Linked DNA regions of Rattus norvegicus. The protein of the gene in region 1 purifies or fractionates together with the protein of each later gene. This does not show direct contact. Links are inferred from orthologs where the notes say so. Each region holds a gene or a part of one and is shown on either strand. Other genes may lie near its edges.

Region 1 (4,927 bases):
CATTTTCTTTCCCCCTTGTTGGAACCCTTCTCAGCCAGCCTCCCTCCTACTTTCGTCTTCTCAGTATCCCCCTGAGTTTAACTAGTTTCTATTTAAAATTTTTGTTGGTTTTGGTGTTTTTAAAAAAATTACTTGGGGCTGGAGAGATGGCTCAGTGGTTAAGAGCACTGACTGCTCTTCCAAAGGTCCTGAGTTCAAATCCCAGCAACCACATGGTGGCTCACAACCATCTGTACTCTTCTGATGTGTCTGAAGAGCGCTACAGTGTACTTATATATAATAAATAAATAAATCTTTAAAAAATTACTTTTATGTGTATTAGTGCATGATCTACACACATATCTGTATGAGGGTGTCAAATTTTGGAGTTACAGTTGTGAGCTGCCATGTGGGTGTTGGGATTTGAACCCCAGTCCTCTAGGAAGAGCAGTCAGAGCCCCTGACTACTGAGCTATTTCTTAGTTTTAGCTTCTTGACCCAGCTGGAACAAGAACAATTTATCACTAAATATATGACCCCCCTTCCCCTAGAGGTAAATTGCTAATAGTGGGGGAGGGGCACCGGGCCCCTCCCACACCTATGATGAAATGTTACCGGGACCACTTTTGTGGTGGTCTTGTGCAGTGAGTTCACAGGTGGAATGGCTATGTCTTGCTCAGAGACATATTTTGCTGTACAACTCCATTTTCGGGCATTCGTTCTTTGTACACCACCTTGGGAGATGTCCCTTGAGCCTTGGAGAGGGTGACAGAGACGGCTCCAGCATCGCTTATTCTTTGCTCTTGGGCCAGTTACAGGATTCTACCCACTGTAATGAGAAGGTTCTCTTATGAAGGATGGACACAATCCTAGACTGTGGTGATATCATGTGTATGAGTGCATCTGCCAGAAGAGGGCATCAGATTCCATTATAAATGGTCGTGAACCAACATATGATGGCTGGGAATTGAATTGATTCTGGAAGAGCAGCCAGGGCTCTTAACTACTGAGCAGTGTCTCCAGCTCCCAGGGTCTTACTCTTTAAAGCAGGCTGGCCCCAACCCTTCTGCTTCAACCTCTCCCTGGATGGTATATTCTTATCTGTACCATTCTCAGTGTTAAGCCAAATTGTACCATAGCCTCTCTTTAGACTCCATTTTCTAAGACTTTTCTGCAAGCTAAACAAAACAAACAAACTGTTGTGGATATCCCTGCCTTACCCTGATATGCTTTCCTGAGGAGGTACAGGGAAAGACCTTTCCTACACTTCCACCAGGAGCTGAGCCCAGCAAATATACCTCCACCTACCACTCCTACTGTCCTCCAAGACTTGACCATTCTGTCCAAAGTAGGGTCAGCCTCTCTCAGTGAATCTACAAAGGGCCTGGGAGACTGAATCTGAGAGCTGAGTGCTTCAGATTTGTGACACCCCAGGGGCGTGTGGAGCCCTTAGGCCACACCCTGCAGCATTCCACCCCGCCCCTGACCGAAGTACTATAAAAGCACGGCTACCTCCTTCTCACTGAGATAAAACCGTCCCGGCGGCTCCGGTACCAGGTATGTGGGACCCTTGGGCCACTTGGGGAGGGAGGTGAGATAGTGCCACAGGGGAAATTCTTGTCCCCTCTACAGAGTAGTGAGCGATTGGGGAAGGACAGTGAAGAGAGACTCGGGGAAACAGGAGGGCAGACTCCCTGGGAAGCATTTGCAATTGAATCTGTAGGGGTTGGGCTCTGAGCGAGGGTCGGGTGGAAGTCGAGGACTGCACCCGTCCGCGAAGGCCCGGAGACAGTGAGGCCCGCAGCTTCACTGCGCTGTTGAGCTGTTTGGACAGTTTAGGTTTCATTTTCCCGAGACGCAGTTTCGTTTCACTCGCCTGGGCCCGCCCCTTTTATTCAACATGTCTTTGCAGGGTCCAGCCTGTGACAGCCCATCCAGGCCCGGACGCTGGATCAACACCTGTGACATCACATGTGCGCTCCCGCTGCTACATCTGTAGTCACATCTACAGCCACCTTGGCCTAGGAATCCACACTTAAATTGGGAACCTAGGTGGCTATAAGTTCTCAAACCTCATCTGTGACCCTCAACACCCTAATACCTGGGTCACACTTGTGAAACTTCAATTCCCACCTGTGACCAACAATCCTAACGTTTAAAACATATTTATGAAACTTGGTTACACTATCTGTGGCTAAAACCATAAAGACACCCAAGGGACTCTTACCTTATTTGTAATACTGCCTCAGTGACTGCAAGTCATCAGAGTAGTAGCACCTACTTTCTCCCAGACTGCCCGTGTAGAAGGAGCAATGGCCGAAGTGAGGTGAGAACATGCCTACCCTGGTTGTATTGGGTCCCATATCCCTTGCATTGGCCCTAATCCTAGCATGGCTGCCCTGCTTGCAGGGGGGTCCAGCGAGTGCTGTTCGGAGACTGGCTCTTGGGTGAGGTCAGTAGTGGCCGGTACGAGGGGCTGCAGTGGCTGAATGAGGCTCACACAGTCTTCCGTGTGCCCTGGAAGCATTTCAGCCGTAGGGATCTGGATGAAGCTGATGCACAGATCTTCAAGGTGGTACCCAATCCTGCCCTCCTTATAATCCGCCACAACTCCTGGGGAATCCAGCCTTAACCCATGCTCTCTCCTCTCCTTCAGGCCTGGGCTGTGGCCCGAGGGAGGTGGCCACCTAGTGGAGTTAACTTACCACCCCCAGAGGCTGAGGCTGCTGAGCGAAGAGGCTGGAAGACCAACTTCCGATGTGCACTCCGCAGCACAGGGCGCTTTATCTTGCGTCAAGACAACTCAGGGGACCCTGCTGATCCGCACAAGGTGTATGAACTTAGCCCGGAGCTTGGATCTACAACTGGTGAGGAGGGCCATAGATAGGGAGGGCCGTACACGGCCGCTGCTGTTTTGGTTGCTTCAATGGTTTGACTTGTGGTTTTTGAAACTAGTTGTAGATTCAGTTCCTCTCCTTTCAAGGTGTGTGTGTGTGTGTGTGTGTGTGTGTGTGTGTGTGTGTGTGTGTGTGTGCGCGCGCGCGCGTGCACGTGTGCTTGCACTTCCTCCTAAGTCAGAGCCTTGGGCTGAGTGAGGTGCTTTGGGAACAGAGGGTGTGAGGAATAGAGAACTTTTGGAACTGCTCAGGCACCATAACCAAGTTACACATCAGCCTCAGATCCGAATCCTCTCCCTTCTCCTTCAGGCCCAGCTCTGGAGAACAGGGAAGAAGTGACCCTCAGCAGTGCCCTACCCACACAGGTACAGTCAGGTTCATTCTTTCTAGGTGTGGGCGATTGGCAGCCGCCTACCACAATGCTTTCTCTTGCAGGGTATGTCCCTAGGATCATTCCTGGCAAGAGGAAATGCTGGGTTGCAAACCCCAAGCCCTCTGCTTTCTGGTGATGCTGGGGACCTCTTGCTTCAGGTTCTGCAATACAGCCACCTACTGGACTCTGAGTCTAGGGCGGACTCAGTCCCACCACAGGCTTCTGGTGAGAGACAGGAACTATTACAGAGCTGGGGTCAAGCTAGAGAACCCCATCTGCCTAAGGCTATGAGAGGGAGGACCACAGAGCCCTTGCTGGGAGGAGGAAAGATAAGGGTGCTAGAATGACAGGGGTAAGATTGACAGGCAGCTCCAACTTGTCCTCAGGCCAGGAGCAAGAACACCTTCCTGAGGAGCCCCATGCAGCATGGCAGATGGAAGCTACCTCCAGCCCCAGGCTTCAACACCCAGTTCTGATGACTGGTGAGGAACCGGGGACCTGTTGGTGTGGGGTAGAGCTGAGGTGCTAGCACAGCTCTTCTCTACTACATACCTAGATCCTAAGCAGAATACTGCTCCACTGACCCTCATACCAGTGCCCCCAGTGGGAGGCAAATAGGTCCTTGGCAAGGAGTGTGGGCAAAATGCCTACCCATACCCATTACTCAAACTTGGTCTATATATACCCAGAGCGCAACCTTGGGTCCCTGGATGTGACCATCATGTACAAGGGCCGCACAGTGCTACAGGCAATGGTGGGGCACCCCAGATGCGTGTTCCTGTATAGCCCCGTGGGCTCAGCAATAAGAACTTCAGAGCCCCAGCCGGTGATTTTTCCGAGCCCCGCTGAGCTCCCAGATCAGAAGCAGCTGCACTACACAGAGACTCTCCTACAGCATGTGTCTCCAGGCCTTCAGCTGGAGCTTCGGGGGCCATCACTATGGGCCCTGCGAATGGGCAAGTGCAAGGTGTACTGGGAGGTGGGCAGCCCTATGGGCTCCACCAACCCCTCCACCCCAGCCCAGCTGCTGGAGCGCAACTGCCATACTCCCATCTTTGACTTCAGCACTTTCTTCCGAGGTCAGTGAGGTGTCTGTCTGGGGTGCTTGTCCTTTGGGGCTTGGAGCCTTTCTTAACCTGCTCACCAGAGTGATCTCCTTAACAGAACTGGAGGAGTTCCGGGCCCGGAGGCGACAAGGATCACCACATTACACCATCTACCTGGGTTTTGGGCAAGACTTGTCAGCAGGGAGGCCCAAGGAGAAGAGCCTGATCCTGGTGAAGGTAGAGCCTGGGTTTGCCAAGTAAAGATGTGTGGGCTGCTGGGTAAGCTGGGTAAGAGCCCTAACATGTACTTTCCACAGCTGGAGCCATGGCTGTGCAAGACACATCTGGAAGGCGTGCAGCGTGAGGGTGTGTCCTCTCTGGACAGCAGCAGTCTTGGCCTGTGCTTGTCTAGCACCAATAGTCTCTACGATGACATTGAACACTTCCTCATGGACCTGGGTCAGTGGGCTTGATTCAGAACCCCAACTTCCAATAGAGTTCAGAACCACTGCTGCCCTGGCTCAGGCTTATTCCTTGGCTATATGTCATCTCTAGTGGACCTTGTGGAGTCCCTTGAAAGAAGGTGACCCCCCACTCCCTACACACTAGGCCTCCTTTGTAGCACTCATCTT
Region 2 (4,936 bases), about 39 Mb from region 1:
AATCAGGGACTAGACAAGGCTGCCCACTTTCTCTCTATCTGTTCAACATAGTACTCAAAGTCCTATCCAGAGAAATTAGACAACAAAAGCAGGTCAAAGGGATACAAATCAAAAGGAAGATGTCAAAAAAGTCACTATTTGCAGATGATATGATAGTATCCTTAAGTGACCCCAAAATTTTCACCAGAGAACTCCTAACCTGATAAACTACTTCAGCAAAGTGGCTGGATATAAAATGAACTCAAACAAATCAGTAGCTTCCCTTTACTCAAAGGATAAACAAGTTAAGAAAGAAATTAGGGAAATGACACCCTTCACAATAGTCACAAATAATACAAAGTACCTCCCTGTGACTCTAACCAAGAGAGGGAAAGATCTGTATGACAAGAACCTCAAGTCTCTGAAAAAGAAATTGACGAAGATCTCAGAAGATGGAAAGATCTCCCACGCTCATGGATTGGCAAGATTAATATTGTAAAAATGGTCATCTTGCCAATAGCAATCTGCAGATTCAGTACAATCCCCATCAAAATTCCAACTCAATTCTTCATAGAGTTAGACAGAACAATTTGCAAATTCATTTGGAATAACAAAAGACCCAGGATAGCAAAAACTATCCTCAACAATAAAAGGACTTCAGGGGGAATCACCATCCCTGACCTCAAGCAGTATTACAGAGCAATGGTGATAAAAAGTATATGGTATTGGTACAGAGACAGACAGATAGACCAGTGGAATAGAATTGAAGACCCAGAAATGAACCCACACACCTATGGGCACTTGATTTTTGACAAAGGAACCAAAACCATCCAATGGAAAAAAGATAGCATTTTCAGCAAATGATGCTGGTTCAACTGGAGGTCCTCATGTAGAAGAACACAAATTGATCCACTCTTATTGCCCTGTACAAAGCTCAAGTCCAAGTGAACCAGGAACCTCCACATAAAATAAGATGCACGCAAACTAAGAGAAGAAAAAGTGGGGAAGAGTCTCGAACACATGGGCACTGGAAAAAATTTCCTGAACAAAACACCAATGGCTTATGCTCTAAGATCAAGAATCAACAAATGCGACCTCATAAAACTGCAAAGCTTCTGTAAGGCAAAGGACACTGTCATTAGGACAAAATGGCAACCAACAGATTGGGAAAGATCTTTACCAATCCTACATCTGATAGAGGGCTAATATTCAATATATACAAAGAACTCAAGTAGTGAGACTCTAGCGAACCACATAACCCTATCAAAAATGGGGTTCAGAGCTAAACAAAGAATTCTCAACTGAGGAATACCAAATGGCTGAGAAGCACCTAAAGAAATGTTCAACATCCTTAGTCATCAGGGAAATGCAAATCAAAACAACCCTGAGATTACATCTCACACCAGTCAGAATGGCTAAGATCAAAAACTCAGGTGACAATAGATGCTGGCGAGGATGTGGAGAAAGAGGAACACTCTTCCATTGTTGGTGAGATTTCAAGCTATTACAACCATTTTGGAAATCAGTCTGGAGGTTCCTCAGAAAACTGTCATAGTACTACCTGAGGACCCAGCTATACCACTCCTGGGTATACACCCAAAAGATTTTTCAACATATAACAAGGACACATGCTTCATTATGTTCATAGCGGCCTTATTTATAACAGCCTGAAGCTGGAAAGAACCCAGATGCCCTTCAACAGAGGAATGGATACAGAAAATGTGGTACATCTACACAATGGAATACTACTCAGCTATCAAAAACAATGACTTCATGAAATTCATAGGCAAATAGATTGGACTAGAAAATATCATCCTGAATGAGGTAAGTCAATCAGTAAAAACATACATGGTATGCAGTCATTGATAAGTGGATATTAGCCCAAACCTTGGGTTACCTAAGATACAATCCACAGATCACATTAAGCTCAAGAAGGACGACCAAAGTGCAGATGCTTCAGTCCTTCTTAGAAGAAGGAACACAAATATTAATAGGAGGAAATATATAGACAAAGTTTGGAGCAGAGACTGAAGGAAAGGCCATCCAGAGACTGCCCCACCTGGGCATCCAGACCATATATACATACAGCTACCAACCCTAGACAATATTGCTGATGCCAAGAAGTGCATGCTGACAGGAACCTGAAATAGCTGTCTCCTGAGAGGCTCTGCCAGAGCATGACAAATACAGAGGCAGATGCTCACAGCCAACCATTGAACTGAGAGTGGGGTCCCCTTTGGAGGAGTTAGAGAAAGGATGGAAGGAGCTGAAGGGGCTTGCAACCCCATAGGAAGAACAATATCAACCAACCAGAGCTCCCAGGGACTAAACCACCACCCAAAGAGTACACATGGACAGACCCATTGCTCTAGCTGCATAAGTAGCAGAGGATGGCCTTTTGGGGCACCAATGGGAGGGGAAGCCCTTGGTCCTGCCAAGAATTGACATCACAGTGTAGGAAATGTCTGGGCAGGCGGGTGGTAAGGGGTGGGCGGGGGAACACCATCATAGAAGAAGGGGGAGGGGAGGTGGAATAGGGGGTTTATGGAAGAGAAAACAGGAAAGAGATAACATTTGAAATAAAAATAAAAAAAAATCCAATAAAAAAACTTCAAGATGTGCATTCATTATCCTGAGTACATCATCTAAGAGTATATTTCCCAGTTATTAGGCTTGTGTGTGTGTGTGTGTGTGTCAGACACACACACACACACACACACACACACACACACACACACAAATTGATGTCTTTATTTACCCTGATATGTTCCATTGTAAGCTACACTTGAGCACAAATGCATCAATGTAGGCATGCCCATACGTTCCTCTATCTAAATGTCTATGTACAGAATATGTATGTATGCTCATCTATTGACATTTGTGGGGAGCACTCCCTGGGCTCTTCTCTAAGCTCCTCCAAGCCTAGTACTTCTCTCAACTTCCTTTAGGGTGCTGAGTATCTTAAACCCACTGAAATTTCTAAGTGGCTAGCACTCTCCTCAATCGAGGGTCTTCAAGGGGCTGGGGTTTCCCCGAGTTCCCCCCTCCCCTCTCCCTCCCGGACTAGGTCACCGCCCTGCTTCTCCTGCTCATGGCACTAGGAAAGTCAATTTCAGAGACCAGCTTTCACAGGGAAGCACGGGCAGCCTGGCAGGGTTGGGACTAGAGAACTCCGCTGAAGAGAAGCAGCAGGTGGGCTAGGAAATTCCGTGTGTAGGGCGCTAGTGGGAAGCGGCTCCTTGAATCTGTGGCATTGGGGTGGGGTGGGGGGAGCCCATCTAGTCTGGCCAGGGGTCCCATCCTCACTCACCTTACCAGGGTCCTCAGACTTGGCTAGGCTGTTTTCAGCTTCACTTTTGCAAGCCCGCAGTCTAATTTCACTTTCAGTTTCCTCTCAGAGGTAAGCTTAGAAGGAAGAGGGAGGAGCAAGGGGAGGAACAGGGAGTTGACTGGCAAGCCTTGGAGGCAGATAGGGCGGAGACTGGGCAGAGAGTGGGAGGAGAGTGGTCAGAGGTGCCAGAAACTGACTTCAGGCCACAGGCAAAGGAAAACTCAGTTAATGTCTTCTTGGGTGCAGTCTCTCTAAGGCCTCCTTGTCACCTTTAACAGACTGTAATCTACAGGATATCGACCTTTGACACTGGTCTTTACTTCAAACCTGGGAGCATCTGGGAGAAGAGGTCTGGATGGGAGAGGAGTTACTATCTTTTCTAGAGGGATCTTCCCACAAGACTGATAGTTCTTTAAAATCCGGGTGAAAGATCCTGGCACTGTTTTTGTTAACATATATTAATTGCACAGTATGCTTGACATATGCCCATTTCCCATCCCTCTGTCTTCTCGTTTTGCTCCCCTCTTTTCAAATAGTCTAGGGTGAGAAATTTATTCCTAATGATGTTAGGGTATGTGTTGTAGCAATGAAGGGAGACTTGTGGACATTGATTGTATTATAATTTGCGCTAAAACCATCAGGTGAATTTTCCTTGCCATTTATCATATTTAGGAAATAAAAGCATTCCGTGCTTTGAAATTTCCAGCCCTGTTTAAGAGATCCTTCTCAGTAAAAGGTCACCAGGCGACATCTACTGTCTAGATTGTGCTGTTGTATTGGGACTTGATTCCAGGAACACAACAGCTCCAGGAAGCAGAATGAAAAACAGAGTCAAGCATCTGAAAGGACAAAGGCATCTGCAAACATCAGAAAATGATTCTGCTTCACACCACTGAAGATCTGTCGCTATTTCCTGCAGGCAAAGAACTTGGGTCCCAAAATAAGGTAGTGGTAGAGTCAATGTCTATTTTTCTATTTACCACTAGATGACGCCTTATCTGTTTCAGTTTACACACTGGATAGAGAGATTAATACACACCCTAGGGTTGTGGTGATAAATACTCTATAATGTGCACACAGGATGACCAATGTAATATACTCATAGCTGCCTCAGCTCCCACCTTGGTAATTATCTGAAGACCCAAACTCCTGAAGAACAAAATCTCCTTCACTCTCAGCTAGTACTTTGATATCTCAACCCTCCTTCCCCTGGGCGAAATGACTCAAGTATTTATTTGGGAAGAGTTAATGTCATTGATAGGACTGTCTAGTACATTATCAGTGTTTTGGTGAAGTGAGATATTTATGCTTTGGGTTTTAGTCAGGCTTTACTAACTTGAATGTGTTTCAGTAACCCAAGTTGTCTCAGTGGTACCCAAGTCCACTCTGTCCAGGACAGGAAAAGCATTCTTTACTCATTTCTAACTTAGTGACCTAAGAAGCCCCAAAGATACAGAAGTAGAAGGAGGACAGCTGGGAACAGGAAAGGACCAATGGGTGTGGGAGAGGCACAAGAAAGATGACAGAGGGTTGACCAGTTGCTGGTTTTGACAGTGTATCAGAATTATGGGGTAGCCCTTTACTCTCATAGTTAAAACATTTGTTGATTCCTATAATAAAATGTCA

What was found. The genes of interacting proteins can lie anywhere in the genome.
Region 2: the proteins of Irf7 (region 1) and Trim21 purify together in Homo sapiens (affinity purification with mass spectrometry; 3 studies listed by BioGRID, with this or other methods). This does not show direct contact. The link is inferred for Rattus norvegicus from reciprocal best matches to the Homo sapiens genes IRF7 and TRIM21.

Annotation. Positions count from the first base shown.
Region 1 is NC_086019.1:205,796,985-205,801,911, reverse strand, and holds the start of Irf7 (interferon regulatory factor 7), read left to right. Parts: upstream 1-1,888; 5' UTR 1,889-2,291; coding exon 2,292-2,305; intron 2,306-2,388; coding exon 2,389-2,551; intron 2,552-2,635; coding exon 2,636-2,846; intron 2,847-3,185; coding exon 3,186-3,241; intron 3,242-3,311; coding exon 3,312-3,474; intron 3,475-3,635; coding exon 3,636-3,731; intron 3,732-3,938; coding exon 3,939-4,328; intron 4,329-4,413; coding exon 4,414-4,532; intron 4,533-4,612; coding exon 4,613-4,768; 3' UTR 4,769-4,927.
Region 2 is NC_086019.1:166,396,020-166,400,955, forward strand, and holds the start of Trim21 (E3 ubiquitin-protein ligase TRIM21), read right to left. Parts: upstream 3,353-4,936; 5' UTR 3,290-3,352; intron 1-3,289. UniProt on the Homo sapiens protein: E3 ubiquitin-protein ligase whose activity is dependent on E2 enzymes, UBE2D1, UBE2D2, UBE2E1 and UBE2E2.